Rhinolophus ferrumequinum: one gene and its partners. The protein of the gene in region 1 purifies or fractionates together with the protein of each later gene. This does not show direct contact. Links are inferred from orthologs where the notes say so. Each region holds a gene or a part of one and is shown on either strand. Other genes may lie near its edges.

Region 1 (8,009 bases):
CATTCCTCTCTTACCTCTGTGTCTTGGGGTTGGAGTATAAACACTTGCAACCTCTTCAGAGTCGTTAATCTCTAGACGCTCATCATATGTCTGGTTTTCAACAATCTTGGTCTAAGCAAAAGGAGACACGATTACATAGGCTCATATCACCAGACATTAAACACTATGCGGAGAGGTGCGATTCCAAACCAGCATTCATCCTGTTCCTCACCCAAGACATTAGTTTCACATGAAAACTTCACCCCCATTCAAACTTTCCTTAAGGCTTCTTGGCCCAAGATCAAGCAGTGAGATCATCCTGCTGCAATCCATATTTAGGAACTGCTGACAAGCTAGCTGAGGAACCAGAGAATCATGGAGGGAAACAACAGCCAACTTCTACACCAGCTCCCCAAAGCTGTTAGGCACACACAGGCACACGGGCTAAACAGTATTCGTTTATAGATAGCGACTTAGGTTCCTTCGGTTTTCCCAAGGCTGTCGCTGTTTCTCAGGGGAGGCTGTAGAGGCTCTAGAATGAGTTCTGTCTCTGGGGTTACCTCGTTTACCGGAACAGAGGGTCAACTCCAGCCTCTCAGTCCCATCCAATAATCCCGAAAACATCACCCCCATCTCCACCCCCCACCCAACTTGCAGGTCGGGTCCCCCTTAAGTTCTTGGGGAGTAAGAGAAAAGCAGGGTGGTTGGTGGAGACGTGAACGAAGGGGAGAAGGAACAGTTGTCATGGAGATGAGAAGAGATTGGGGGATTGGAAGGAGAGAATGGGAGTCCGCTTAAATTCCTCTTGGGAGGGAGAAAAGGAGTTCTCTTCCGGAGAGGGTGAGTACCAATTACCTGTAGCCCATCTGAATCCGTCTCCTCTAAATTGAAAGAACCCCAGCCTGGGGCTGAGGTCTCACTCCAATGTCAGGCCAAGCCACTCTAGGGATTCTACCTGGAGCAACCGTCCAGTTGTCAGGCGCTAGGTAAAAATAAATAAACAAACAAATTTTAAAAATCGCGAGACTTGCTTTCACTCTCGTGAGACTTTCTCCACTCGCGCCTTCAGTCCCTGTGAGGGAAGGCTCCAAGGAGGATCAAGAGCGTCTCCGGGGTGGGGGTTGGAGGAGCCTCTCTGGGCGATCAGGTCGCCTGTTTGTCTATGGTTTCAGTAAAGGCGTCTGTGGCGGCATCCAGCGGCCACGGGTGGCAAAGCTGGCTGATGAATTTGGGTTTATAAAGTTAACCCTTCAATCTGGAAATAATCATGTGCATTTTACCCCGTAAGACAATTACCATTGGTCATGCAATTCCTCCTCTATCAGTCTAATCAGAATTTAGACAAAATCTCTAAGGAATAGTCCAACAACACTTTGTACGTCCTTTTTAGCATTTGTATTACATTATAGTCCTTCCTCTTTACGGTGTCCCATTGCATAGGACATTTCTTATACTAACAAATTATTCGTTATTTATCTGAGATTACAATTTATCCTGGTGTCTGTATTTTTATTTGCTAAAGAAGACTGAGCTTCTTTAGGGCAGCGTCTGTGTCTAACTAATTTTTAAGATCTTCATAGTGTCAGTGCATTGCATAAATTAGGTGTTTTTAAAATGCTCATTGGGTGGATGAATGAGTGAACAAAGATGTAAGGAACAAATATTTCAAACTACAGACATAGTTAATTTGGGGAGTAACAAAGAGAGAAACAAAGAGAATAATATTGGAAATTTGACCCTGAAAACCAGCCAGAGGAAAGCAGTAAAGTGGCTTTTAAAAAGAAAATGAGAAACACCTCTTCTGAGACTCTTCTGGTTAAAAATGCAACTGCAGGGTGGCCGCATGGCTCAGTTGGTTAGAGTACAAGCTTTGAACCACACGGTTGCCAGTTCAATTCCCACATGGGCCAGTGAGCTGCGCCCTCCTCAACTAGATTGAAGGACAACGACTTGGAGCTGATGGGCCCTGGAGAAACACACTGTTCCCCAATAAAAATTTATCTAAAAAGAATGGAACTGCAAAACATTTTTTAAAATTTTTTGTCATCTGTTATTGCTAATAATAATGGATATGTATTGTTGAGCATTTACTATGTAGGACCACTTAGATTATATAATCTTACTTATTAATATATTACCTAACTTCACAACCTTATGAGATAGATGTTACTGTCAATTTACAGATTAGGTAATTGAGGTTTTGGAGAATTAAAGCAACTTGCCTAGAGTCACTCAGCTACGGTAGTAAGTGCCGACAATGGGAGTCAAACACAGGTCAGTCTAATTCCCAAGGCTCTGCTTTTAACCATTATGACTTTCTGCCTTTAAGGCACTCCTCACAAAGCATGCTTGCTGGGGTACTCTTCTTATGCAGTTTAATTCAACTGTCGTATTTCTAAAGAATCAGCATCAGTTGGTCTTTGTGAGCTTTGGTTGTTCCACACTGAATGCCCCTGGAAGCTGCCACAATAAAGCAATAATTCCAGACATGATTTTTACTTTTTTTAAATTAAGAATTTGTTCATCTTTTTAAAACTGCATGTCCTTTTTATAATAAAAATAAACAGTACAGTTTGACATAGATCCTCCCAGACATGCAAGTTCTAAAATATGGGGGGTTTGTAATGATTCTACTAGAAAGCCACTGGAGATAGAATTGAAATGAGTGGGAATTCTATAGTGCAGTGCTTAAGAGTATAGATTCTAAAGTTGAGCAGCTTTTGTTCCAATCCTAGAGTTACTACTTTCTAGCCGTGAGAGGTGTGGTAGAATAGTTTTCCTCTTTGTACTTTGGTTTCCCTGTAAAATAAAGATATTAATGGTTCCTATGTCAGAGAATTTTTGTGAGGATTAAATCAGATAATCTGTGTGAAGAGTTTAGGAATACACAGTATTCCTAAATACACTGTACATTGTAAGTGCTCAATAAACATTAAGGAACATACCGAAGATGTACCATGTTTTCTGAAAAATAAGACCTATTCCGAAAATAAGCCCCAGTTAAGATCGTCAGCCAGATGGACGCATTTAGTACATTTTGACGATGTTCCAAAAGATGACATGACTGTATTTGAATAAATGTAGATTGTTGTACATGAAAAAAATAAGACATCTCCTGAAAATATGCCCTAATGCATCTTTTGGAGCAAAAGTTAATGTAAGTCCGGTCTTATTTTTGGGGAAATACGGTATAAGACCTGGTCTTATACCGGAACATGGCATATATAGAGAGAGGCAGGTGTGTCATAATGAGAAAAAAATGGGTTTGAATCCTGGCTCTATCCCTTACAGACTGTGAGTCTGGGCAAGTGCTTGACTTCTTTGGTCCTCAGTGTCCTTATCTGGATTGTTGTAAAGGATTACAGCTAACATGTGTAAAGTACTTGACACAAAATAAGCACTCAATAAAAATTTGCTGTTTATCCATTATTGCAGCAGTGTTTGAGTGTTGTAGAGTTGAGCCAGTGATACAGGACGAAATGATATAGGGGAGAACTGCTGAATCACATATGCCCTAAGTCCGACACTTGACATGGGAGAACTATCAACAGAATCAGAAGGCTAGATTTGACTCTTGCTTCCATTATATACTGGCCTAGAACTCTGGGTAAATTTCTTAAACTTGACATCAATTTTCTTCACCTACAAAATGAACATGAACGCAGTAACTGCCCTGATTCCCACACACTTTTTAAAAAAAGGTATAATTTACAAGTCATATAAATTAACCCTTTTAAAGTGTACAATTCAGTGGTTTTTAGTATATTCACAAAGTTGTGTGACCACCACCTCTGTATAATCCCAGAATATTTTCATCACTCCAAAAGTCTCACTCCCCATTCTTCCCCTCTCCCACCTCCTTATAGCCCTACATTCTATCTCTATGGATTTGCCTATTCTGGACATTTCATATAACTTGAATCATATAAGATATGATCTTTTGTGACTGGCTTCTGTCACTTAACATATTTCCAAGGTTCATACTTGTTGTATAATGTATCAGTACTTTATTCCTTTTTTCAACTGAGTAATATTCCGTTGTGTAGATACACCACATTCTGTTATCCATTCATTTATTATGGACATTTCAGTTGTTTCTGCTTATTGGCTCTTATGAATAATGCATCTATGAATATTAGTGTACACTTTTTTGTGGGGACATGCTTTCGATTTTCTTGGGTATATACCAAGGAGTGGAATTGCATCATATGGTAACTAGGTTTAAATTTTTGAGGAACTACCAAACTATTTCCCAAGTAGCTGCACTATTTTACATTCCCACTAGCAGTGTATGAGGGTTCTAATTTCTCCACATTCTTATTATACCAACATTATTATTACAGGCATCCTAGTGCAGGTGAAGTGGTATCTCATTGTGGTTTTGATTTGCATTTCCCTAAGGACTAAGGATGTTTGAACATCTTTTATGTGCTTATTGGCCATTTGTATATCCTCTGGAGAAATGTCTGTTTCACCCATTTTAAAATTGGATTATTTGTCTTTATTATTAAGTTGTAAGAGTTCTTTATTCTGGATATTAGGTCCTTATGCACACCCGGTTATTTCGTATGTTAAGTGATGTAGTGGCTGTGAGAGTTTTATAAACTACGAGAGGTGTCAAAAATTAAACAAGGGCGCTGACAATAAGTGAAGGGACAAAAATACGAGGTTCTATCGCTTGGGTGAGCCCGATCCCTTCTTGGCCAAGTCGCGTTCTAGCTTTGCACGCACAATTTCCCCACCCCATGGCGCCCCGCCCTCCGCCCTTTGACCTGCGCAGTTTCCGGTTGAGACGTGGCTCAGGGCCGCCATCTTGGCGAGAGGCAAAGCGGCTGCGGCTCCTGTCAGGGGGGCAGCAGGTCCAGAGCCGCCGGTGCTTTCCTTTCCCTGACCTCAGCCCTAGCCCCAGTGGAGCCAGAGCGCGGGTGCGCCCCACCACCGCCCTCACCATGGTAAGATCCGAGCCGGGCCGCATTCCCGGATCTGGCCTCGCGTGTCCGCGCTCTCTGCGGGTCGTCTTGGTGTTATGGCCAGAGGAGTCCCTGCTTGAGGGCCTGGAGCACCTGGAGCACGGCGCTTCCGCCCGGCGCTACCCTCGGGGCTCGGGGAGCTGTCTTGTGCCCGACCTCTCGGGAGATCGGGGGACCTGACTCCTGTATCCTCTGTCGTAGCGCCCACACCCTTTCCTTCCCCACCCCCAACTGGGCACCTTCTGTGCTGAGATCCGGGCCCTGGAATGGGCTGGGGTTTTTGCTCTACTAGAAGCTCGTAGTGATAGCGCTTGGACCCCACTCTGCGATCCTCCGCGCAAAAGTCCAGCCTGTTCCATGGGTGCCTAGCTCGGCAGGCTGGACTTCTCTCCGGGGATTCCCTTCCCTCTGTGATCAGTTTGCCTCCCATCTCCGGTGTTTGGTAGGCCGTTAATGTTCGAAATCCAAATTCATTGGTTTTCAGTACTTCTTTTGTTTGTTCGAAAGGGGGAAATAGAGGAAAGTTCGAAAGGAGGCACAGAACACTAGTTTGTAGACCCAAGTGTCCCTGAAACCTTCCACTACTTCTACAGAACTTAGGTGTGTCCATTTGTCAGTGAGATTGAGTATATGCAATGTATAGAGCGTTGGGAAAATGTGAGCGAGTTGTAAAGAATATAGGCTTTCTGTCTTGGAGAAACTTACTGTTCAGGTGAAGTAAAATGTGTATAGCAGATAGTAAGAAGTTACACTCTGCAACCTACTTGCCTTTAGATACATTATCTTTATGTTCTCATCCACTGTAGAGATGGGAAAATTTAATGTGGGTGAGGATGGGGACAAAACACTGCTGACTCCACTAAATCTTGCTGTATCACTAGAATTTGTGCACAGATATTTATGAAGTAGGAGAAATTCTTTGGTTCCAAACGAGCTAGTAATTTATTTTTTTAGTGCACTTTATGCCCTTCAATCTTTTGAAGGAAGTTTTTTTTTTCTTTTTTATTGTTAGTAGATTAATCATTTGATTTAAAGCGTCTTTCTACACACTTGAGAGACGACGGTCGAATTTGGTGTCATTCATATTAAGTTCAATTGACAACCTTTTAGATGAGAACATAGATGGTGGAGGATTCATGGTTGGGCTTTTAAACACTGAAAGGTTTTCTTCAGCTTCAGGCATATAAATTGCATCAAGCAGTTTTGCGTCATAAAACTTTAATGTTGCACATAAAATTTTCAAAAACTCCTTTTTTTCATTTCTATTAGGAGTTTCAGTATTTGGATAGTGATTTTTAAGCTTCTTTTCCTTTTATGTCCTGAATGTGTTTGTAGTGCATTTTATAGTGTGTTGTAATTTTAATAGCAAAATTAAAGCCTTGTTTTATATAAACCAAATGTAGATAATCTTTGCAAACAGATGCTGAAAAGTTCTTGGAACTTAGTACAGTAAGTCCTCACTTACTATCATCAATAGGTTTGTGACTTTAAGCAAAATGACATAACGAAATCAGTTTTACCATAGGCTAATTGATATAAACAAGAGTTAAAATTCTCACAACATCTCATCAATATAACAACATGATCTTGAGTGAAACTGTTTTTGAGGACCTGCTATATTTTTAATTCATTGATAACTGAGGCATATTAAAGTTCTAGGTGTTAGTGATAAACAAAATATAAATTTTGCATATTATTTGGACACGTGTGCATATGTATACAGTTGTGTCATGTTTAAATATGCGTATATTTCTGAACTAGTTGGAACCTGGCATAATCTAGATGCCCACAGATTTGTGATTTCTGGAGAACATCCTCTCTCAGTACATTCTGCTCTGTTGAGTCTTAAGACATTAAGTGTTATTTCTGTGTAATATTTTTGTGTCCTATTCCTTTATGAAGATATTCCTGGACAGGAAAAATATCCAAGTAGAGTGACATTTTGTAAGATTTTTTGGATCTAAAAGTTGTTTCAAAACTTCTGAAAATTGATTTTTTTTCTCAACATTTCATTTAAAATTTTCAAACATCTAGAAAAGTTGAAAGAACTTCATAGTGAACACCCATATAACCACCAACTAGATTCTGTAATTAACATTTTACTATACTTGTTTTATCACACGTCTAATCATCCATCCATTCCTCCATACATCTTTTAATGCATTTTAGAGTAACTTGCAGATATCAGTACATGAATGTTGATTTATGAAATACAAATTTCCTTTGGCTTTAGTTACTGAAGTTAATAATATTTTTGTCCTACGCTTCAAAGTCCTAGTAGAGAAATAAATGAACAAATGCAAAAACAAATGGCTTATGATGACTTTGTTATAAAATGAAGAAATAAAAAAGACACCTTTTTTTTTATTTTTTAACTTTTATTTAAGCGTGTTTTTCCAGGACCCATCAGCTCCAAGCCAAGTAGTTGTTTCAGTCTAGTTGTGGAGGGCGCAGCTCACAGTGGCCCATGAGGGGATAGAACCTGCAACCTTGTTGTTAAGAGCACCGCCCTCTAACCAACTGAGCTAACCGGTCCTCCCCCCCTTTTTTTAAGCTTTTATTTCTTTAAGTAAAAAAAGGACATGTTTTGATTTGATCTTTTTTCTAGTTTTCTGCAAATTAATCAGAACATGTTCTTATTTTCCTAACAATAATACATTGTTAAGTATTATTATAGTTCCTTTTCTTAATAAACTTACATTTGAAAAAACTTGATATTAAATCTCATGGTAACACCAATCTCTAAAATCTTTGCTTATCTACAGAGTGCCGTTCTTTTATTATTAAGTATAGGCAATGAATAAACTTAACTATAGTGGCCACATTAAATATAAATGATCACATTAAGTTCAGTTCCCAAAAGCTATTGGTTATTAGAAAGTTAGATTTCGGTTTGTGTGGCTGACCTATACATGATGGGGAGAAACAAATCCTACACAGTAAAAACTTCCCGATTAGAGGGTTACTATTGCTCTCCTCCCCTTTTTGTGATATACAAACAGCAGCTGTGTAGCTATTGTATTCTTTATGTATCTTTCCTTTTTTTTTTTTTTTAATTTT
Region 2 (7,878 bases), on another chromosome or scaffold:
ACTTTATCCCCATTTTGATATTCAATTTTTTATTAGTTTAAATTATAAATATATGCTTGTTGTAACAAAGTCAAACAATACCAATATATACAAAGAAAAACTATTTAATAATCCAGTCTTTCCATCTCACCCTCTAAGATAACATATATTAATATTTTTCTTCCACACTTCCCTTTATGTTCCCTTTGCTTGGAATGCTCTTCCCCCAGATATTCTTATGGTTCATTCCCTTGTTCTTTTCAGGACTTTTATCAAATGTCCCCTTCTCAGTAAGGTTTTGACCACCCTATTGAACTTTCTCCTTGTCCTTCACTTCTCCACAATGTGAATAATACCACTCCAAATGGTGAAACATAGTGGGATTGCCCTCGGCCTCCTTTTCCGTTGTAATTTTCTCCATGACATTTATCACCCCCTAACCTCCTATATAATTTACTTATTTCTTTGACTATTATCTACTTCTGTTCCTCAACCAGAATGCAAGGATTCTATGAGGGCAATGATACGTATTTGTATTGTTCACTGTTTTTATATATCCACTGCTTAGAGGGAGTGGCTAGCCCATGGCTAGCATTTAATAAATATTTGCAGAATGAATGAATGAATGAATGAATGAACAGAATAGAAACATTTCAAACATAGTTATTCATAATTAGCCTTATATTTTTAATGAAAAAATGGAATCATACCACATAAATTCCTCTTTAACTTACTCTTGTCATTTAACATTTCATTACCATTTCTCCAAGTTAATGCATATACCTCTAGCATACTTTTTAAATTTATTGCATTGTTATTCCACAGTCTGGATATACAATAATTTATTCAACTATTCTCCCTTTGATAGACAATGTTATTTTTTGCCATTATAAACAATGTTGCAATAAGCACTCTTATGTATGTGTCATTATGTACTGGATTGTGTTTGTAATTCTCTAGGAAAGGATGTACCCATGTTTAATATTACAGGAACTGCCATAATACTTTCCAAAAGAGAGTAACACTTCCAACTCCCACCATCATCTGGTCCCACTACAGCAGTTACCTACATTTGTATTCAATGCATTTCACCATCTGGCCACAAAGTACCTTTCCAGTTTTATCTCCATCCCCTTCCATACTATTTCTTTATTTATCCTCTGTCCCATGAAACCAATCCCTCAAAGATTTCTTACATTACACAACACTGAAGACATTGTGTTAAGTGAAATAAACCAAATACAAAAGGACAAATATATGATTCCACTTATATAAGGTACTAAAATAGTCAAATTAAGAGACAGGAAGTAGAATAGTGGTTACCAAAGTCTAGGGGGCAGGGGAGAATGGGGAGTTATTGTTTATTTAATGGGTATACAATTTCAGTTTGGGATGATGAAAAGTTCTGGAGATTGATAGTGGTGATGGCTGTATAACAATGTGAATATGCTGAATGTCACTGAACTGTACACTTAGAATTGGTTAAAATGGTATAAACTTTATGTTACATATAAAAGTAAGTAAAAACATTTTACAATTAAAAAAAAGAAAAATATTTCTTGCACATCCCAGACTCCATTCCTTTATTCATACCAAACCCTACCAGTCATTTCATCAATGCATGAATAAATCAAGGCCAAACTCAACAGCCCTTCTCCTGGATCTTGACTCTCCCACCCAAATCCCCAGGGATCACTTCCTCTCAATATCTGTACCCTTTATTTGGCATTTAATCCTAAACTGCACTTCGACACTGCTCATTTATCTTTGTATCTTGCATTTTCACAAATATTCATTCTATTCAGCAAACACTACTTGAGTATTTACTATTTGAGGGCTAGATGCTAAGTAAATAAAATGAAAGGGACAAAGCACTGCCTCAGATGACAAGTCTGATGAGTTAGATTGATGTATTAAAACATGACTATAACCAGAGTCGATGATGGCAGAAATGAGGAAGTGTCCAAATCTACCTGGGCATATCAGGGAAGTATTCATGGGGAGAAGATGTTGATTTTGTCCTTTAAAAAATAGCTTGTTTTTCTCCTTTTAAAATAGCACCCATGCATTTTAGAACACCTAGAAAATATGAAAACATTGAAAAAAGTCCTAGCACTTTGAACTAGCCACTGGTTACATTTTTGGGTATGTCCTTCCAGTCTTTTCCTCCACACAATAACACACACACACACACACACACACACACGGTCGATCCTTGAACTACACTGGGATTAGGGGCTGACCAATACCTCATGCGGTTGAAAATCTATGTATAACTTTGACTCCCCCAAAACTTAAATTACTAACAGCCAACTGTTGATCGGAAGCCTTACAGATAACATAAACACTTGATTAACAAATATTTTGTATGTTATATGTATTATATATTGTATTCTTACAATAAATAAGCTAGAGAAAGAATATGTTATTAAAAAAATCATCAGAGAAAATACATTTACAGTATTTATTTAAAAAAACACATATCAGTGGACCCACTCAGTTCAAACCCGTGCTATTAAAGGGTTAACTACGTGTGAGTGTGTGTGTATACATATGGTTGAGGGAACATATGTATTTTTCATTTGATTGGTTCTTAAAGGTTTTCCAGCTGAAGGTGAGATGGAAGCAAATGAAACAAGAATGATCATAGAACTTTAATGCTGGGTAAGGAGGTAGGGCCCTAGAAAGCTCTGGTCTGAGACTCCCCATTTTCGAGAAGTGGCAGCTGTAGTCTGGAGAGGGTATTGGTACTTGTCAAAATTCTCTCACTTGTTAAGGCAAAGTCAAAACAAGAACTAATGTCTCCCATTCAGTTAATTGTTTTCCCCCCACTGCAGTTACGCAATAGGTTGGAGAGCTAAGAATCAACCCTCTTCTGGAACAATGTCTGAATGTTAAGATTTGTCAGTACACAAAGAAAGAGGAGCTAACCCCCTCCCCCAAACCAGCCACACCACATATTTTTCTCCTCATGGTCCCTATAGAACATCTGGTGTAGGGTACTTCAGGTAGGACTAGGTAGGATACAAGAGAGGCTGTACCACAAGTCAGAGTGGATTGTGGGTAAGAACATGGGAATCCTTAGCATGCATAGGATTGTAAGTAAGCACATGGTTTTAGAACCAGACCTCCTATGCTCAAATGTATGGCTGCCAGTGAATACTTGTATGGCCTTAAGTAAATTATGTAATTGCTCCCAGTTCCACCAGTCCCATCATAAGGGTTTTTAAAAATATTAAATAATAAATCCAAAGATTTAGCATGTGTCTGGCCCATAGTAAATTGTCAATAAATGTTAGTATTATCATTAAGCTGCCAAGCCAAGGACAATCTTGTGATGCCAGGCATAAAGCTAAATGTTTGAGTATCTCCCCATTTGGAATAGATAAAGGCTTCTTCAAGATATGAGCCTTGTCACCTCGGATTTTACCAGAAAATCATATACCTTCCTTTAGAGCAAATGTCAGCTCTGTAGTTTGTTTTGTATTGTTATACTTTTCTCTTAGGCCCTCTGACTCTACTCTGAAATTATTAGAAAAACTCATGATTACGTTTGAATCATGGGAGAGCTTCTGAATCATGGGAGAGCGTCTTGGGAGAGCTTCTAAAGAAATAATGTCAGAGACAGAAAAAACAAAATCCCTTTGGGGATAACACAAGGCAATAGAAGGTGTCCTTGACCTAAGGGGAGGTAAGGGACCAAGGAACAGAGGGGTAGGGGAAAGCTAAACTTCATCAGAACCCTTCCCTATTGTGAAATCCCTGCATTCAGTAAACTTCTCTTTTCTCATTTTGCAACGGCTTGTCCTTACTGAACGACCGCAGACCCTGCTCCCCATACCCTTCCTTATCCTGGACCCTTTACCCCTCTGTCCCTCCTACTCTCTCCTCTCTGGTTTCCAAAACTCTTAACATCCCAGTTTACTTGCGGCCAAAGAAATCTGCTTTTAGAAACTCAGTGGGTCATTCCCTGGGACTCCACCTTGGGAAGATTGTTACTGTAGCAATCAACTTTCTGGAGACTTTGGTTTATCTAGTTAACACCTTGGGCATCCCTTGGCTTTATTCTATGGTTGGGCAGACTTTCTGCGAGGATGCTCAAGTGATCTGAGCGAGTCTGAGGAAGAACTAGCAGTGTTTGCCAAAGCAACCGTGAACATCAGGGACCTAATCGGAGTTCTTGGAATGCGGATTAGGGTAGGATTCTGCCAAGAGCTGCCAGTGTTAAACGTTAAGGAGACATAGCGCCCCCTAAAGGGAGTGCGGATTAAAGTGGCTAACCCAGGCTTACGATATCACGTGCTCCCCGCCCTGCCAATTGAAAATTAATATTCGCTTCCTCTGTTCCCCATGGAAACAACCCCGCCCCATTGACTCTCCCGCCCCATTCAGTCGTGAGATTTTGGCGTTTTATTGAGTGTTTAAACTGACAATCAAATACCTGCGCCTTCTGGCTGGAGACCTTGCTTCCGCAAAGCAAACTAGCACTCTGATTGGTCAATAGAGCAATAGCTGGCACCCCGTAGTCCAATAATCCCCATCCTGGGCGGGGTCGAACGAGGACGTAGGGCCAATCAGCGGCCGCGTTCTTTTTGCGGCTCCACGTCGGCACCAGCTGCGGGGCAAGATGGAGGCGCTGATTTTGGTAGGAGCCGGGGCAATCGAGATGCTACGGTGTTAGAGGGGTCGGGAGTCGGGGTTCAACCTGACTGGAAGTGGGTAGATACGGGAGTTCCGGGTAATCCTCCGGGACCGAAGGTTCTGCCGGCCCCTGGAATAAGGGTGTGGCCTAGTGCAGGAGCTAGAACCTCGGTTTAGAGTAGGGCACAGTCGGAGAAGAGGGCAGAGTCGGTGGAAAGTTGAAGGGAGCACACGGGGTCCTTGGGACGCATAGGATCATAAGCCTACTGGATTGAGGTCCTTCAGGTTCCCCCGATTCTGAGCATTGTGGATGATATTCTGATTTGAGTTTCTCCAAACTCGCCCCAAATTGTAAGAATGGAGTGCAGGTGTTTGTCATCACAGGCTTCTCCTGTTGGTTGTCACAGTTTGATACTCCATTGATAATTCCCCGTCACATTCTTTCAGAAAACTATTCTTTTTGCTTGGTTTCCTGTTAATCCCTTTTATATAGATGTGTCATGATAAAGAAAGAATCAGTATTCCATCAATGTTCTGGAATGCTTGATGGAGTTAGCATGGATTGTGGAATATTTTTTCAGACTCCTTATTCTGGTCTCCTTTTCCCTACCCATTTAAACTTTAGGAATTCTTATTGTAGGATCTGGGATGCTAACTCTCTCTGGTGAGAGAGAGAGAGGAGAATTTTGGTGTTTAAAGGGGTGTATTAGCTCCCTTGTCCATATGATCCTTTTAGCTTGTTCAAACAAATAAAGCACTATTATTCCTTCTTTAGACCTGGACCACAGCATTTCTCTCAGAAGTACCTGTTTTGCAACTAGGGGAGATGTTAACAGAGATCTGCGTGTAGGAATTTAGTTCCCACTTCCTTCTTTACTTGAGTTGAACTCAAGGCCTCTGTCATGCAGGGTGTCATGCGGGGTCTCAGTTCCCGCTCCCAGCCCAAGAACGCAGGATATGGTGAGACCAAAAAGGAACACCAACGGAGCCATAGATAGGGGAGTCATAGCACTATATTCTCCATGGCGGCTGGGTTGGAGACACAGGAAGCAGGATCCACACCATGTGCAACCCGCCGTCCGCTTCTCTGCCAGCCAACCTCACTTGTTAACTGCAATCCGCAATCTGCGCTTGTTAGCTTAGCCACAGCAGTTATATCAGTGGCTAATGGCTAACCGGTAACAGCTGATGGCCAACTAGTCACAGCTGATGGCCATCTACTACCTGAGCCAGCACCTTTCCACGTGAGGCCGGGAGCCTGGAAACTGCTCTCCTGGCTCTGTCTGCACAGCCTCTTTTTTGTCTTTGTCTTTCCTTCAATTCTAATACATGTACACATTCAGATCCTCATCAGGTAAAAGAGAATAACAGATTTCAGTTCCCCTCTTTGAAAATGGCAAAGATAGAGATAATTCCTTCTCATCATATGGGTTGGTCAAGCCTAGATATTATAGAAAGCTTAAAACGGAGTACTTTTTAATAAGATATTTTCTGTACCACGCACTTGAACAGTATTCTTAAGCAGTTAACAGACTGAGATAAGTTCAGGGGAATTGGTTTCTTTTGAAGTTTTTGGAAATTTTTAGACTGCTTCCTTGCTGGTGCCTGGCCCCCTGCATTTCGTTAAGAGAAGCAATCTCTTCTTTAGAAAGGAGCCTGTTTACAGGTAAAGAAAGCAGTGAGGGAGATGATACTTAGGGAGCTGTTTTAACCAGAGATCTGTGTGTAGTGGTGAATTGAGGCAGTTATACGTGAAAGTCTTTCACATTTTCTGTTAAACCCAGGTTCTCTGTCTCTGCTTCCTCAGTGAAGTGTATTTCAACCTGCTGCTTTTTTATATCCATTTTAATCTGTACCTAAGATGCAGCATTCACAGAGCCATGCTAACCGGTCAGGTACCCCTGAACTTTGCTTTAAAAACCATACTGATTCTTTGTCATGACAAACTTATATAGTGGGGACAAACCAAGGTATAGGGAAAAGGGCTTGCTCAAGGAAGTATAATGTCAAAACTAGATTAGATTTTGATTCCTAATCCCATACCAGTTGTCTCTGTTATCTCATCGTCGGCTTCCACTTCTTTAATATACAAAACTGTACTTTTGACCATCAGTTATATAAAGCTTTTGTTGGGGACAAAGTACCAACAGGTATCAATTCTTATGCTGGTGTCTCCAGCGTTCTTAGAATATTAAACTAGTATTTCCCTTCCTCCGTGTCAGCTCTTTCCCACATTTTATTCTCTTTACAATTTCAATATTTTGGGCTCCTAATTACGAATTTATATACCTTTCTCATCATTCCAGCTCTTCTCAACTGGAGTTCCAGGAAAGAATTAAGCCCTAATGACTTAAGGTATTCATTGTATGTAATGAACCAATTTCTGTCCTCTGTAACCGCAATGGCACTAGTTTTGTTCCGTCTTTGGGAGAAGTGAGAAAATAGTCACTTCAATAATTATCAGTATTCAGTGGTTCAGATGTAGAATCCTAGTTGAGAATCAGGTGATATTTTCTAAGTTTTTCTTTCTCTGCTCACTACCCTCACATACTAGCCCACAAAATTTAGCTCTATCTGATTCAGAATTACTCTTCCTCACTGTTCCTTTTAATCTCTTCCCCTCTTCTGTCTACTCAGGAGTATCGCATGAGTCTTAGGTTGCCATGTTCATTATGAAAAATGTAAAGAATCCCTGGACCTTACCTTAGCTCTGTACTGAACTAAAGAGTTTAGTGTACCTGGATAGTATTTAACAAGCCATTCCTTAGAAAGGGAGACACCTTCTAAAGTTCTTTTAGGCTTCCTCCTTTCACATTTTTATTTCCTGGTTTGGCTGGACCTCTGGGGAAATCTGATCAGAGCATATTCTTCTATCCTCACCTCTACAAGGCACCCAGCCATAGAATATTGAGAAGGGAAGGGTAAGCTAGAGGCGGTCAAGAAGAACCATCAATCGAAATTTGATCTGACTGGGTATTTCTAAATACCAATCGGTTCTCTTTATTTCGGTACTTTATTATGGGTCACATTTCTTTCTTGAATTAAGTAATTCAGCCCTAGCTTTCAAGCACATCTGTCTAATCTCAGGTCTTTTTGTAGTCTCTAAGGAAAGAGACTCTTTCATCTCCTTTTAGAAATGCTTAATAATGATGCTCCCAGCCTGCATCTTTGGACTCAGCTTCCTCTCTCCTGCTGTTTTCTGCTGTTTTCCCTTTCTTGTGAATGGAGAGGGATCTCTGCAGGTCACCATTCTCCATT
Region 3 (8,371 bases), on another chromosome or scaffold:
GTTATCTTGAGAAATAAGAAGAAAGTGGGAGGTATCATGCTACTTGACATCAAATCACACTACAAGTCTGTCATAATCAGAACAGCAAGGTATTGGCAGAAAAACAGACACATAGATCAATGGAACAGAACAAAGAGCCCAGAAATAAATCCATGCCTATATGGTCATTTAATCTATGACAATGGAAGCAAGAATTTACATTGGAGTAAAGCAGTCTGTTTAATAAAAGGGTCTGGGAAATCTGCAAAAAAATGAAGCTGGACCACATTCTTATGCCACATACAAGAATAAATTCAAAATGGATTAAAGATTTATATGTAAGACTCAAAACCATAAAACTCCTAGAAGAAAATATAGGAAGCAAATTTACAGACATTACCCTTAGTAATATTTTTACTGATATATCCCCTTGGGCAAGGGAAGCAAAAGAAAAAATAAACATGTGGGATTACATCAAACTAAAAAGCTTTTCTACAGCAAAGGAAACCATCAACAAAATAAAAAGGTATCCTACTGAATGGGAGAAGATATTTGTCAATGATACATCTGATAAGGGGTTAATATTCAAAATTTATAAAAAACTCATACCAAAAAAAACCAAGCAACCCAATTAAAAAATGGGCAGAGGACATGAAGAGACTTTTCTCTAAAGAGGATGTACAGGGGCCGGCCCGGTGGCTCAGGCGGTTAGAGCTCCATGCTCCTAACTCAGAAGGCTGATGGTTCAGTTCCCACATGGGCCAGTGGGCTCTCAACCACAAGGCTGCCAGTTCAATTCCTCGAGTCCCGCAAGGGATGGTGGGCTCTGCCCCTGCAACTAAGATTGAACATGGCACCTTGAGCTGAGCTGCCGCTGAGCTCCTGGATGGCTCAGTTGGTTGGAGCGTGTCCTCTCAACCACAAGTTGCCAGTTTGATTCCTTGACTCCCGCAAGGGATGGTGGGCTGCGCCCCCTACAACTAGCAACAGCAACTGGACCTGGAATTGAGCTGCGCCCTCCACAACTAAGATTGAAAGGACAACAACTTGACTTGGAAAACAGGCCTGGAAGTACACACTGTTCCCCAATAAAGTCCTGTTCCCCTTCCCCAATAAAATCTTTAAAAAAAAAAAAAAGAGGATGTACAGATGGCCAAGAGACATATGAAAAAAATGCTCAATGTCACTAATAATTAGAGAAATGCAAATAAAAACCATAATGAGTTACCACCTCACCCCGGTCAGAATGGCTATCATCAATAAATCAACAAACAGCAAGTGCTGGCGAGGATGTGGAGAAAAGGGAACCCTCATGTACTGTTGTGGGGATTGCAGATTGATGCAGCCACTACGAAAACCAGTATGGAGGTACCTCAAAAAACTGAAAATGGAACTACTTTATGACCCAGAAATTCCACTCCTGGGTATCTAACCAAAGAAATTCAAAACACTAATTCAAAAAAATATGTGCACCCCTATGTTTATTGCAGCACTATTCACAATAGCCAAGATATGGAAACAACAGAAATGCCCATCGATAGACGACTGGATAAAGAAACCGTGGTACATTTATACAATGCAGTATTACTCGGCCATAAAGAAGAATGAAATCTTACCATTTGCAACGACATGGATGAACCTAGAGTGAAATAAGTCAGACAGAGAAAGACAAATACCATATGATCTCACTTATATGTGGACTCTAAAGAACAGATTAAACGAACACACAAAACAGAAATAGACTCAGACATATAGGGAAAAAAAATCTGATGGTTGCTAAATTGGAGGGGTGTTGGGACTCTGGGGGAGAAAGTAAAGGGATTAGAAAGTACTAATTAGTAGTCACAATATAGCCACGGTGATACGAAATACAGTTTGGGGAATATAATCAATAATGTTGTCAAGATTATGTAGGTTGCCAGATAGGCACTGTACTTCACAGACTGTGTAGATACCTGACCACTGTGCTATATACCTGAAGCTGAAGTTGAATACTATTGAATGTCAACTATAATTAAATATATATACCATGTTTCCCCCAAAATAAGACCTAACCGGACAATCAGCGCTAATGCGTCTTTTGGAGCAAACATTAATATAAGACCCGGCCTTATTGTACAGTAAGACTAGGTCTTATATAACACCGGGTCTTATATTATTAATGTTTGCTCCAAAAGACACATTAGAGCTGACTGTAAGGTTAGGTCTTATTTTCGGAGAAACGGGGTATATATGGTCATGGGAGGTGGAATACAACATTGGGAATATAGTCAGTGGAATTGTAACAGCTATATTCGATGTCAGAGGGGTAGTAGATTGGGGGCCGTTATCACTTTGTGAGGGTTGTAAATGTCTAACTATTAAATTTTTTTGTAACAAAAAAGGACTTAAAAAATGTATATCCATAAAATGTAATATTATCCAGCAATTAAAAAGACTGAAGCACTGATTCATTCTACGGCATGGATGCACCTTGAAAACATTGTGTAAGTGAAAGAAGCCAGACACACAAAAGGCCACATATTGTGTGATTCAATTTATATGAAATATCTAGAATAGGTAAATCCATAGAGACACAAAGTAGATTAATTAATTAAAAGTAGACACAAAATAGGTTGGAGGGGGGAACTAGGGAGGGGTGTGAGGAATGGAGAATGAATGCTAATGGATATGGATTTCTTATGATGAAAATATTCTGGAATTAGTGGTAAAGAGAACACAATCTTTTGAATATACTGAAAAGCACTGAATTGTACACTTTAAAAGGGTGAATTTTAAAGTATATAGATTTTGTCTCAATTTTTAAAATGCAGTAAAATTAATAAAAATAATATCACAGCTAGGATATTGATATTGGTATAATCTACCAATGTTATTAAGATTTCCCTAGTTTCTCTCTTGTGCTTTCAGTATTCTGTGTTTCTACAAAGGACTTAGCAATTATGAAGAATTATATTACTTTTAAAAATAATAAAAACCCTACGATTATATGTAAACCCATACTTAGAGCTGGAGTTACAACCCACAATTCTCATTGTAATTTCATTACAAAAATTGCCCTTCATATATAGTTTTATAGAACTAATATCATAACACAAAAGGCTATTTTAATTCAACGCAATTTATCTGTATATCACGTTCTTAACACAGCAATATAAATTTCCAGGGTTCTTTTCTGGTTTTTAACCATGAGGCATACTTACTTCATCTTAATTATGAACACTTTTACACCATGCTTTTCTTTTTTAATGTCTCGTTTATTATAAGAAGTTTGCATATTGCCTCCCAAGACATTAGAAATATCCCTTTGTCTATTCACTACGTGTACACTTAAAACTAACATGTTGAATGCCAACTATAATTTAAAAAATAAAAACCAAATAAACAGAAAAGAAATACTCCTTTATAAAAGGGACAGAATATTTCATCCGATGGCTGTACCATAATTCCCATAAATTATCCCCTTATTGTTGGACATTTTGGATGTTTCCAATTTTCTTGCTGCAAACTGCTGCAGTAGGCAACTTTATTTTCTTCTTTTGTATGATTTCCTCCGGATAAGGGGTGGGGTTTCCTCCGGGTAAGGAGAAGGAGAAAGCCTCCTTCTCCTCCCCGCAGGTCTGGGGGCTGGTTACTGATTCAAGATTTTGAACATCTTTTTGGCTCGTGGCAATTTCACCTTGGCGCAACATCTGCTCTCCGCCTCCCCTGCTTCCTGCTAGGCCCCAGCCTCACTCAGCAAAGCATGACCCTAAAGGCTGGCCCCTCCCCCCACATACCCTTTTCTTCTGCTCTGCTGTCACCCTTACCTTCGTCACCTGCGGGCCTCTGCTCCAGATGCTCAGCAGGCCTCCTCCTCCCCGCAGGTCTCGGGGCTGCCTCCTCCCGAGGCAAGTTGGTGCTACGCGTCGCAGCGCACGGCTATCCTGACTCAGCTTTGCCACAACCAGTGCAATTTGGCACGTCGGTTCTCACTGTCCTTACCTTGGCCTCAAGGTGTCCTGCCCAAGTCCCCAGGAAGACAAACCCTGAGTGGTGTTTCATTTTCCCCTTCCCATGCTTTCCCGCCCCCAGCGCTGGGCGTATCTAGTAGGCCCTTGATAAATACCCAAAGTATTTTAAAAGCACATTGAACTTTTTCCATGCTGATCTTTCACTTTAGTTAGATCCCTTAAAGTACAAAACAATCTGCACCAGGAGCAGACATGAATTATAAGAGCAAGTTCATGCATTAATTCATTCAACAAGAATTTACTGAGCACCTACTACATGCCAACATTATGCAGGCCAGTGAATAAAAGACAGTAAAAGCAATATAGTGAAAATAGTGTGTTAGATGGTGATTCGAACTAGGGAGAAACATCAGGCCAGGGTAGAGTGAGGAGTGGCTAGTGAGGCCTCCCTGATAAGGTGACAATAGTAAGAACTGGCAACATTAATTGGGGTCTATTGCGGGACAGTGTACTAGGGCCCTCACTTCCAAAAGCCGTTTAAACTCACGGCACAACGCAATGAGGCAAAGACGACTACTACTCCCATTGCACAGATAAGGAGGGAGTAAGGCGCAAAGCTGGGGTGCCGGTCAGTCCTGAGTCTAAGGCCTCGGCAGTCCCCCAAGGCCTCCACGTCCGCCTATCCCCGGCCTCCGGACCTACCCCGGCGGGGACAGGGTTAACTCCAGACGGGACCTCCCCAGCCGGAATATGCGCTTGCGCAAAGCGCGGAGTGCGCCTGCGCAGAGCGCGGTGCGACGTGGCCAGCCGGAAGTGGCTTAGACGGAACTGTCACCAGACTGAGCTAGCCACGGAAGTCCAGCACAGGGCTGCTGCTTTGCGACCCCGCTGGAACGACCATGCTGAAGAAATTCGACAAGAAAGACGAGGAATCGGGTGAGAGAGCCTAGGCCTGGGTCAGGCTGGACCATCGTGCAGGCTGTCAGCACCCTTCCTAGGAGCCCTCTTTTGGGATTTCTGTCCTCACCCGAGGTCGAGGCCCAGTGAGAGGCAGGGTCTTGTGCAAAGGTCCGCAGCTGGTCAGTGGCAGGCCTCGGAGAGCCCGAGCCACTGTCCTCCTTTCTTAAGCTCGGACCGCGATTCGCTGGGTGACCATGGGGCAGGTCACGCGCCTCTCAGCGCCTTAGCTTCTCCATCTGTACGGGGAGTAGCAGGTGCTCCTTTATTACTTTCCAGTCTGACCTCTTGGGATTCGCCGGGGATGTGTTGGTGCTGGCCAAACTGGGGTATTTTCTGTGGAGCTCATGTCTTGGAGCTGAGAACCTTGACTCGTTCATTTATTCAGCGAATATGTACTGAGCACTTACTACCTGCCAGGAATTGGCATGTGTCCAGCACTTACTGCAGTGTCCTGATACTGCAGGAGGACAAGTGAGACACTCAGTGCCTAAGCTTGGAATAGTAGAATAGTCACAGGTATAATGGAGGAGACAGACAGCAACCAAATAGTAGCACATGTAGTTAATTACAAATGTGACATCTGCTGTGAAGAAGTACTAATCGCTAGGAGGTGGTGGTCCCTATGCAGTAGTAGGGACTCGGTTTAACTACCTTTTGCATAAAGGAATGCAAGACATGACACCATGAAAGGCAAAAAAGGACCGTGCCAGGGCTGTTGGGTGACTTAAGTGCTTTATGGTAGAGGGCGCCCCCTTGCAGGAGAGGGATAGGATCTATATGCAGGTTGTGGTTGCCATTCTGAGTTTAGACTTGACTAGGTAGACAATAGGGACACCTGTCCCTTCTCTATGGGAGAGTTTTGAGATTCAGGGTCACAACTTATACTCACTCAGTCTTTTCTGCTCTCCAACCGCAGGTGGAGGCTCCAATCCATTCCAGCACCTTGAGAAGAGTGCAGTACTCCAGGAGGCAAGTATCATTTGCTCCCCTCCATCTTTCATCATAATGTTTACTATCGATGCAGTTTTAATACTAACACATTGAAAGTTCTGGTTTAAAGAAGAAAGTTCTGGTTTAAAGAATAATAGGAGAGAAAACCTGTTTCTGGAAAGACAGGAAAGCTTTGTTCCTGGAGAGAGTTCATCGTGCTTACATTTTTGTAGTGGTTCTTCATTTCTCTTTCTAGTTAACAAGCATTTAATAATTATCTTTTAGTCAATAAGTCAGTACATTCTTAACTGATATTTAAATTTAAGGAAGATTTCAGCAGTTATTAATAAATCAAAGGAAAAAACTATTTTCTTAGGAAAATAAGCTTGTCTAAGCAAGTGTATTTATTTACCCTGGGACTTCCCAGCCCTTGAATGAGCTTGAGGGCAGTCAATGGAAGGGAAATAAATTGGGCTAGAAGATAATATCCTTGGTCCCTTCTTCTTAGGCCCGTGTATTTAATGAAACTCCCATCAACCCTCGGAAATGTGCCCACATCCTCACCAAGATTCTTTACCTCATAAACCAGGTAACAGGGTCAGGTTGAGGGGTGGAGAAATGGTGTTGGGGGATGTTGCGGGTAGGGGGGAGAAAGTCAAACAGCCCTTAGGCGATTCAACAGCTGCTGTGTGGTTGTAACCAGCAGCCAGGATCTGAGGATTTGGCCTGGGATGATCCAGCAGGAAGAACCTTCTGGACCATCTGTTCAAAATTGAAACTTTTTTCTTGGTTAAAATAGGGGGAGCATCTGGGGACCACTGAAGCAACAGAAGCCTTTTTTGCCATGACCAAGCTCTTTCAATCCAGCGATGTAAGTGCCCCAACCCCAGCTTTCCTTGAGAGGGGATAGCTATGACAGGGTGGTAGGAGCACCAAGGGAAAGTGACCCCACCAGTCAGTGTGGACTGCCTTTACATCTTCTGGAGTTTTCTTTTCCTCACCCTGACCCTCATACTGGGCTAAAGGTTATAGGATGTTTCCTATCTCTTTCCCAGCCCACCCTCCGTCGGATGTGCTACTTGACCATCAAGGAGATGTCTAGCATTGCAGAGGATGTCATCATCGTCACCAGTAGGCAAGTTTAGGGTCTGTGGATGGCTGTTCTGATGGGTTCCATTGATACAGAGGCCATTTTTTCTCATGTGTACTAGACAATGAGACTTTTGATTGACATATTGCCAAGTGTCCTTTCATCTTCTGTCTCCCTCATTCTTCAGTTACAGCTGCCTACCCCATGGCAGCCTCCAGAGTGTGCTGTTTCCCTTTTAATTTTCTGTCCTTAGCTTGGGCACAAACCTTTCTTTCCCTTGATTCCTCTTAGTCAGCTGAGCCAGAATACAACTCTCACAACGACTTTAGTGAGTATCAAGAGAGAACATGAGAAAAATAGACATAGAGAATGCAAGAGGTGTACAAATAGACCTCCTTACTAAGTATTTCTTTCTATCGTAGGCTGAGTGATTTAGGAGACAGATGTGACTAAAGTACAATCCCTGCCTTTGAGAACTGGGGCACAATTCTCTCATTTCTTCTTGTCACAATTTTTTTGGGGGCGGAGGGAGGTGTTATATATTCATTTGTAGATTCATTTAGAAAATATATTTTTGACTGTCTACCAGTCCCTGTGTGTAGCTCTTGGAATAGAACAGCAAACAAGACAAATATGTCCTCTGCAGCATCCCCAGAATTGACAGAGAAATAATCAGATAGTCAGGCGTTAAAATAGGATATATTATGGTTTACCATGGGATGTGTGATGGGCTGTGAGAGCAGATCAGAAGGGCACCCAACTTGAGTTTGGATCAGGAAAGGCCTCCTAGAACTGTCTGAGTGGAGTCCTGAAAGAGGAGTGAGAAAGAGCAGGCCAGAGGTCGGGGGGCAAGGCGTTCCGGGCTAAGGAAACAGCATACCCAAACACCTGGAGAGGAACAATCACATGCCCTACTTGGGGCCTTCTTTGTTGAAGAGTTTATGCTTAATGCTAATGGCAGTAGGAAGCCTTGGAAATGTTTCAGTAAAAGCAGGGGAGTGACCTGGTCAGTTTTAAGGTTTATAAAAATCCCTCTGGCTGCTTTGTGAAGTTTGGCTTGGAAGGGACAAAAATAGAGAACAATAATTAGGAGACTTGTATAGTAATCCAGGCAAGTGTGGTGCTGGCAGCTAGAGAGGAGTGGACAGGGACTTGGGCTTGTGGAAGGCAGGCCAGGCTCCTGTGTAGGGACAACACCCTCTCCCCCTGCAGCCTGACAAAGGATATGACCGGGAAAGAAGACAACTACCGGGGCCCAGCCGTGCGAGCCCTCTGCCAGATCACTGATGTGAGTCTGCTCCCCCACCCAGCCATCCTGCTCTTACCCTGCTTTTCAGTAAAGGTTCAGTTTCATCCTTGGCACGCTGTAGGTTGTCCCCCACCTCTGGGGCAAAGCACCGAGCCAGGTGATGGGGGGTGAGAGGTGAGGTGCACGGCAAACATGTTTGCTTTCTTCCTC
Region 4 (7,875 bases), on another chromosome or scaffold:
TTCCTGCCCTCTTCCCTCAACCTCATAAGTCATATATGCAAGATTCTATGACAGCAGACACCAAAGGGTTCAAACCTGTATTTTCTCCAAGAAATGGCAGGCTCTAAATATCTAGCTTGTTCTAGCACTGAATCTTCCTTTGTGAAAACATATGTGCAGACTCCGTTGGCCTCAGTAGCCTCCCTGGATCTCTATTCCTTTGCCCTATTTGGGAATAACTTTACTTGCTTTTGGCCAGTTTTAGGTAAAGTTCATCAAGAACACTAAGGTCTCTAGAACAGAGCTTCCCAATTGATGGGCCTTGAATCATTTAGAGATGTGCTGATATTGATTCCCTTCATTTCTGGGGACCCTAGGCTGGAGCAGACTCACCTATTACCCCAGGAGGCTCTACAAATATCATCGATTTCTATATGTGCCAGAATGCCATACAAATAACATTTTCTATGTATCTCATCACATTACAAAGATTGGGAAGCACTGCATTAGAGGATAGATGACCCTGAGTTCTATGTAGCAATGCAGCTCAAGTCCCTAGTGATCCATGTAGAGACATCTTAGGGTCTCCCCGCAAGTCTTCTTCCCACTCAAAACTGGATGTGTTATTCATAAATTGTTTTAGAGCAGTTCTCAACTCTGGCTGTATATCAGAATCACTTTGGAGTTTTTAAAAATACAGATACTTGGGCTTTACCTTAGATCTACTAAATTAAAATCTCTAAAGGTGAGGCCCAGGCATGTGTATTTGCAAAACACGCCACTTGTGGTTCTTTATTATACACAGCCAGGCATGCAAATTATGGCTCTAGACCAAGGCACTGAAATACCTGTAACTTCCATGAGACAAAAACTATAAGCACTTTCAGACTGCCAGCCAGGTAGTCTTTTGCTCCCATGGGATCTGGTAAAATCTAGATATGAAAGCAGGTCCACAACATTCAACTATGTCTTACACATAGCAAATACTTAAGTTCATGTTGATAGTGACGATAATAAAATACAGAGGAATATCAGAATCTGGAATAACTTTAGTAAAGATCTACCTGGGAGCATTTGAGATCTTGCTCCCTCGCATATGTCATCAGTTTGGTTCAAATAAAGTCTCATTAAAAAAAAAAAAAAGACCTACCTATCAATGGCAGTTCTAAGTAAAATAAAAGACAGCAGTCTTTGCCATAGTATTTAAAACATGGGAAAAGGAAAAGCTAGTCTGGCAAATAAAAAATATGTAACTTCAGCTCCAAGGAGGACAAGAAGAAGACAAGTTATGACACTGAAAAAAACCTGGATTCTAATCTGGGTTCCAGTGGGTGACTGTGTTGTCTTAAGTAATTTGCTTACTTTATATAAACCTTCAATGAGGAGAAGATTTTCCACCCCTATCTATCTTATACTGTAGGGACAAATTCAAAAAGGAAAGAAAGGAATGAAAAGAAACCTACATATATAAACTCTTCGAGCACTTTAATAGGGTCTAACAGAAACAGGGCATTCTAATCAGAAAATCAAACCTGGGTCTTTCTCCTTCATTTTTATCATGGTAGCAACTCTAGTTAAAGAGAGCGTAGCCTGCTCAGGACAGACATACATGATGAAGTAAGACTTAGAAATGAGTAGGTTGAAAAGGAAACAAGATCTTAATGAGGAAGTGGCCAGAGTCCAGCCCCTCCCCACTTGTTTCTCTGTATTGGCACTTGGCTGTATCTCTAGAAGCTACTGCTTTGCTTCCAACAGGGCTGCTCTAAGAACATGCAGCAGAATGACTCATTCCCAAAGGGGTATCTTGGAGGCTAGCTCCAGGAGGACGGGGTCCTAGCCCTTGCACTAAAGTGGGGTTCTAGCAAGATCAGCAGTCTGACTCAGCCCACAGTTTAAGAACTAAGTCCAGTTTAAGAACTAAGTACAACAGAAATGTTATTTGGAACTGCTTAAACCAATTATCCTACTCCCAGTACTTCCTGTAGCAAACATATGGGACAACATAAGAGGAAGGATAGGTACAAAAGTAGTAACTGCCACCTTGAGCAAGTCCGTCACTTCTGTGTCCCCGTTTTCTCCTATAAAATTAGGTTTCAGGAAAGTCACAGAGTACTGCTGAGACCACATTATTTACTCAGCATCATCAATATACATTTATTAAAGGTTGTCTGACTTTCAGCTTTGTGTAGGTATATTGTCTTTATACGAGTAAACTGAAATTCAGAGGTGACCAATTTGATGAAGGAGCCAAGATCTGATTCTGTTTCCTGCTTACCTGCAAAACTACATTCAGACAGAGCTACTATCCACAGAAGAACAAAATTTGAAGATAGCAGGTTAAGCAGAAGAGGAACTGGGATTCAGACTTCAGATCACAACTTTTTTCCCCTTTCATAGTTTTATAGGCATGTTGTCATGGTACCCTGTTTTGGAACACATTTACAAAGCATAAAGACAAATCCAAATGCTTTACAAATTCCTCTTGCAACTATTTGGCTTTATCAATGCCTTCTCTTCAAATAGTTCACTGCCTTCAAGAAGCCCATTTTGGTTGCAAAAAGATCATTTAGAGTTCAGGTAATGACTGAATTCCATAGAATATGAGACTTTTTTCTCCTAAGAAAACAGTATAGTTTTCCACTTGACCCACTAGGTGGTTAAGAGTCCTGGCTTGGAATCTGGACCACCAGGGCTCAAACCCTAGCTTCATCCTTAATAGCAGGATGATCCTGGAAAAGTTACTGAACTTCTTTAAGTCCCACTCAGTTTCATCATTTGTAAAATGAGATAATAGAGCCTACTCCATGGGGTTGTTGTGAAGATTAAATGAGATGCACATGTAAGAAGCTTAGTATGCAGCATTTGCTAAATGTTAGCTTTTAATAACTATCTTGCCTGGTTTGACAAATGGTTCTCTACCAGCTCCCACCCACATAGCCTAATCTGTATGCTGAGACTCCCAAGCAGGACTTGGATATTTATATCGAGGGCAAAGACTGAACCATCAATGGCCACAGGCAAAAATCCCAACCTCAACTCACAATGGCAGCCAATCTGATGGGTGGCATTGAGCAGACGGACACAGGGAGCTGTTTTATTTAAGGGAATGTAGATCTTCCTCTCCACTGAGTTTCCCCCGCACAAACCTGATCAGAAGATAAAAAGTGTTAGTAAAAACTAGGATAGTACTAGCCTCCATCTTGTCTTTAGCTCACTGGATGGCTTGGGCATATCATACTTTCTAAAATGGGACTAATGTCCATTCTTCTCACTTCTTGGGCACATTACTGGAACACCTAAATGCAACCACCTATGTGCCTCAGAGGGTTATTACAAATTCTACATAGAGCAACTGACAGTGAAGCTAAAAGAAAAAACTTCTTTTGTCAGAGGAAAGGCATTTAACCTCAGATGTACCAGCTTCTGGTTGCATCGGTGACCACACTTCCACTTTTCTATCTGTATGTGTATTACAAATTAGTTAATAAAAGGGTTCCAATCTAAGATTATAAATTACAATTTAAAAAATCTTTCTGAGACTTTTTTCCAGGAGTCTGAACAGAATTGGGAGAAAATCTTTGCCACACCTGTCAGTTAATCTAACATCAGTACATCACTTGTGTGTGCCCAGTGTGGGGCGGCTATAGTTTCTCCTTTGGGGATCTTTAAAAACTATGTGAACTTGGGGAAGGTATGGTCACCGTTATATACAGGCATGTTTGAATTTTAGGGCTTGACAAACTAGAAAGCCATATACCAGAAAATAAATGCGTATAAGCAAACACTTATATACATTATAAATGCTTAAAGTTCCTTGAATCATTATTTCATGGTCTAGACAGTTAAGAGTACCCCATATCCTGATAACACAAACTGAGGAAAAGTACGGAGAATAAAGTACGCGGAATCAACAGCAGAGAAAATGAGGAATCTACTGTTCTAATAAGCGCTGCACTGCACCCACAGAACGAGGCTGCTTTCATCTTGAAATGTCTAACCGCTTTGGGAAGGAAGCTGAACGATGACATCTGTCCTTTTTGATTGTGGGTGGGGTGGCTGGGGCCCTGGGGAAAAGAAGGCATCCGGATAAAGTGGGATAGAGTCGGGCTGGAAGTCCTGGAGAAGACCTGGAGGAAGAAATGGGGCGACCCGACGTGCCGCGGGGGAGAGACCTTCGGGTCCAAGTAAAAGGGAAACTTCTGTCGTGGGAACGAATGAGAAAGAGATTTACAGGGTTGGGGGACAGAAGGGCAGAAGGAACCAGGAGATAGACGGTGGCGCTCGCGGCTGGGCCGATCCGAAGGGTTCTCCTTACAGACTCACGGACGAGGGAGGCCTCACCTGCCAGGAGGACGCAGAAAGACAAAAGGCAAAGAAGATCCCGACATCCCAGGTAAGCCACAGAGGCACCACCCCCGGCCGTGGCCATTTTGTCTCTCTGCGGAGCGGAAGTCTTTGTGCCCCTCCTGTCCGTTCGTGGCCTCTCTAGGCCCACACCGGCGCCGTCTCTGTGGCCCGGAGCTCCAGGGACCGGAAGTTCGTGTCTGGAGGAACTTCCGGGAGCTGCTGCTGAGGGCCGCTGACGTGGAGACAAACGAAGGGCTTCAGGGAGTGGCGGGGCTTGGATTAGGAGCTCGGAGCTGCAGGCCTGAAGGATGCTAACCAAATTCGAGACCAAGAGCGCACGGGTCAAAGGTAGTAGAGGAGCATAGGGGCTGGATGTCAGGGGCGGCGCTGTCACCGGGGAAGAGAGAAGGTAGACCGGTGGGCCGAATTGGGCCCTCGGAACGAACCCTGAGGAAGATGGACCGGAGGGAAGTTAGACCTGCGGGCGGTTCTCCAGCCCGCCACACCTCAGGAGGGTCCTAAGGCCCGTTTTCAATTCTTTCCCTTCTCCTCATCTGGGGCCTGTGTTCCTGACTTTTATTCCTCTGCTCCCAACGCCCTGTGACCTGTTGGCTTTTTGATGACGTATTCTAGGGAGTGTCCCTGGGGATTGAGTCTCGACCTCTGCCATTTGTATCCAAGTCAGTAGCTTTTTTGGAGATGAGCACTGGCTACCTCACTTAAGGAGGCTGCACCAGGTCAACATCCAATGCCTCCATTGGGCTTTATTTCCTACTTGGAAACAGGACATTTAGGCCTGTAACCCCAGTAAAGTCTGAACTTGATAAGGTTGCCAGGATGCCCGGTTAAATTTGAATTTCAGATTAACAGTAATTTTTGGTATTGTTCATGGTTTATCTAAAATTCAAAGGTAACTGGGCATATTTATTTCCTAAGTATGGCAATTCTAGAGCTTTAGTATCAGTGGTTGGGGGTGGAGGGCAAATGACTGAAATCACAGCAGTAATCTCTTAGAATGTTACAGTGGGAAAGGCAGAGAAATAAGGTCTTCTGAGATTTGGAAAAAGTATATATCTTGAATATTTAGTAAGATGCAGCTTGCAAAGTGGTTAGGAACTTAGCGTTTGGAATCAGATGGGCTTGCTTTGGAATGCTGAAATATCCATTAGCTAGGTGTATGACTTAACAGTTCTAAATCTGTTTAATGTGTAAAATGTGAATAATTAACATTCTCTAATAAAGATAATTAAAATGGGAAAGTATATGAAAAGTGCTTGTTACAGTGCCTGACATAGACTCATTAGCTTAAAAATCTGTTCTTGCTAGCGAGGATGGAAAGACCTCCTACAACTACAAGGCATATAGAGACTTCAAAAGGGTATTGCATTAATAGTGGTGCCAAATTAGACCTACACTAAAGACTGCTGTGGACCCACCCTAAAAAAACTTAAAACGCAAGTGTCAAAAGAATCAACTGATTCCAAGTAATTTAACTGCACCCTAAGACAAATTCCAACAATATTTAAAAGAAGATAGCAAATATTTTTTTAAAATCCAGCACCTTATAAAATTCACAATGCCCAGCATCCAGTGAATGAATGAATGAACCTAGGATTAACTTAGCTGTTCCTTTTTCTTATCAGAATTGACAGGAGGTGACTTTGTGAGGCTTACTTAATTTATTGGATCACTCTCTGCTTTTTTCCCCCAGGGCTCAGTTTTCACCCCAAAAGACCCTGGATCCTGACCAGTTTACACAATGGAGTCATCCAGTTATGGGACTATCGGATGTGTACCCTCATTGACAAGTTTGATGAGCATGATGGTAAGATAATAGTTTCTAGGAGGAAATTAAAAAAAGATACAAGTATTTATTGTCCTCTAGAATACTTTAAGCCTTGTTTGACATTAATTCTTTTAGGATTAAACAATGTGGAGGGGATAGAACTGGAAGATCCTGAATAAGAATCACCTTAGAGATTAGGAAGCATAGCTCTCTTTAACATATATTGCCTGCCTTTTTCCCCAGGTCCAGTACGAGGCATTGACTTCCATAAGCAGCAGCCACTGTTTGTCTCTGGAGGAGACGACTATAAGATTAAGGTACAGCGGGTCTGTCATTACTAGGAGTAAAGAACAGAGAACATGGAGTTTGGGAATTGTGGAAGGGTCTAAAAAACAGTACTTCTTACTCATACAGAGCTCAGGCTTTTCACAATGTTATCCAGAACACTTATCCAGCAACATTTACTGAATGTTTACTGTGTATCAGACACTGTTTTATTTTTTGGGAATTCAAAAATAAATAAAAAATGGCCTCTGTTCTCCAGGAGCTTTCATTCTAATAGAAGAGATAACTGTATATCCAAATAATAGGTGTGTACAGTTTAGTGAGTGATACAATAGAGAGATAACCAAAGTGAAATAGGGAAGGGCATTCCAGGTAGAGAGACCAAAAAGCATGACATAGCTGGATAAGAAACTATAATTAGTTTTGTGTAAGATGAGAGAAAGGGCCAGATCATGGAGTTTGCAGTGTTCAGGAGATTGGATCTGTACAAATAACGAGGAACCATTAAAGGGTTTTAAAAAGAGGAGTGATATCAGACTGACATTTTTTTTATAACGATTACTTGTGTGGTAGTATAGAGAAAAGATTGGATGAATTGGGCAAGACTGGAGGCGGAGATACCAGTTAGGAGACTGTTGTATAAGTTCATATGAGAGAGGAACAGCGCCTGAGCTTAGGCAGTAGCATTTGAAATGGAGAGAAAGATGGATATGAGTGCTTAAGGAAATGAATCAGTAAGTTTGTTGCATGGATGTTAGAGGAATTGTAAGGGAAAATAAGTGAGATTATTTATCTCAGGCTTCTAACTTAGGTCACTAGGTGGAAAGGGTACCATTAACTAGGAAAGGAAAAACAAGTACAATTTTTTGGAGTGGAAGAAGATGGTGTCTCAGTCTGTTCGGGCTACTATAACAAAATACCACATACTGGGTGGCCGATAAACAACAGAATTTTTTTTTTTTTTTTTTTTTTTTAAAGGAGGGCACAGCTTACAGAGGCCCATGCAGGGATCAAACCGGCTATCTTGGTGTTACTAGCACCACGCGCTAACCACCTGAGCTAATCAGTCACCCCCCAGAAATTTCTTTCTCACAGTTCTGGAGGCTACAGGTCCAAGATCAGGGTGCCAGCATGGTCCGGGTCTGCTGAAGGTCTTCCAGGTTGCAGACTGCTGACTTCTTGCTATGTACACACATGGTGGCAGTGGACAAAGGGATCTCTGGGGTCTCTCTTAAAAGGACACTAATCCCATTCGTGAGGGCCCCACGCTTACGACCTAAGCACCTCAAAACTCTCACCTCCTAATGCCATCACCTTGGGCGTTAGGATTTCAACATAAGAATTTTGGGAAGGACACATTCATTTCATAGCAGATGGGTAATAATTACCATCTTGGTGCTGATGCCTAGTGGAGCTATATCTGCACAGGAGATGTATTTGGGAGTTGTCATCATGAAGGAGGGAGCCAAAGCAGAAGC

What was found.
Region 2: the proteins of ARCN1 (region 1) and COPZ1 fractionate together in Homo sapiens (co-fractionation; 5 studies listed by BioGRID and IntAct, with this or other methods). This does not show direct contact. The link is inferred for Rhinolophus ferrumequinum from reciprocal best matches to the Homo sapiens genes ARCN1 and COPZ1.
Region 3: the proteins of ARCN1 (region 1) and COPG1 purify together in Homo sapiens (affinity purification with mass spectrometry; 6 studies listed by BioGRID and IntAct, counting the BioPlex papers as one, with this or other methods). This does not show direct contact. The link is inferred for Rhinolophus ferrumequinum from reciprocal best matches to the Homo sapiens genes ARCN1 and COPG1.
Region 4: the proteins of ARCN1 (region 1) and COPA fractionate together in Homo sapiens (co-fractionation; 4 studies listed by BioGRID and IntAct, with this or other methods). This does not show direct contact. The link is inferred for Rhinolophus ferrumequinum from reciprocal best matches to the Homo sapiens genes ARCN1 and COPA.

Annotation. Positions count from the first base shown.
Region 1 is NC_046294.1:87,906,108-87,914,116, forward strand, and holds the start of ARCN1 (coatomer subunit delta), read left to right. Parts: upstream 1-4,771; 5' UTR 4,772-4,928; coding exon 4,929-4,931; intron 4,932-8,009. UniProt on the Homo sapiens protein: Component of the coatomer, a cytosolic protein complex that binds to dilysine motifs and reversibly associates with Golgi non-clathrin-coated vesicles, which further mediate biosynthetic protein transport from the ER, via the Golgi up to the trans Golgi network.
Region 2 is NC_046293.1:54,055,806-54,063,683, forward strand, and holds the start of COPZ1 (coatomer subunit zeta-1), read left to right. Parts: upstream 1-4,567; 5' UTR 4,568-4,606; coding exon of another isoform or gene 4,607-4,624; intron 4,625-7,878. UniProt on the Homo sapiens protein: The coatomer is a cytosolic protein complex that binds to dilysine motifs and reversibly associates with Golgi non-clathrin-coated vesicles, which further mediate biosynthetic protein transport from the ER, via the Golgi up to the trans Golgi network.
Region 3 is NC_046302.1:368,468-376,838, forward strand, and holds the start of COPG1 (coatomer subunit gamma-1), read left to right. Parts: upstream 1-4,719; 5' UTR 4,720-4,831; coding exon 4,832-4,868; intron 4,869-5,808; coding exon 5,809-5,861; intron 5,862-6,330; coding exon 6,331-6,411; intron 6,412-6,621; coding exon 6,622-6,693; intron 6,694-6,877; coding exon 6,878-6,957; intron 6,958-8,124; coding exon 8,125-8,200; intron 8,201-8,371. UniProt on the Homo sapiens protein: The coatomer is a cytosolic protein complex that binds to dilysine motifs and reversibly associates with Golgi non-clathrin-coated vesicles, which further mediate biosynthetic protein transport from the ER, via the Golgi up to the trans Golgi network.
Region 4 is NC_046305.1:28,213,264-28,221,138, forward strand, and holds the start of COPA (coatomer subunit alpha), read left to right. Parts: upstream 1-4,518; 5' UTR 4,519-4,634; coding exon 4,635-4,674; intron 4,675-6,037; coding exon 6,038-6,151; intron 6,152-6,355; coding exon 6,356-6,429; intron 6,430-7,875. Other genes in the region: NCSTN (nicastrin), read right to left, coding at 3,021-3,125, 4,321-4,408. UniProt on the Homo sapiens protein: The coatomer is a cytosolic protein complex that binds to dilysine motifs and reversibly associates with Golgi non-clathrin-coated vesicles, which further mediate biosynthetic protein transport from the ER, via the Golgi up to the trans Golgi network.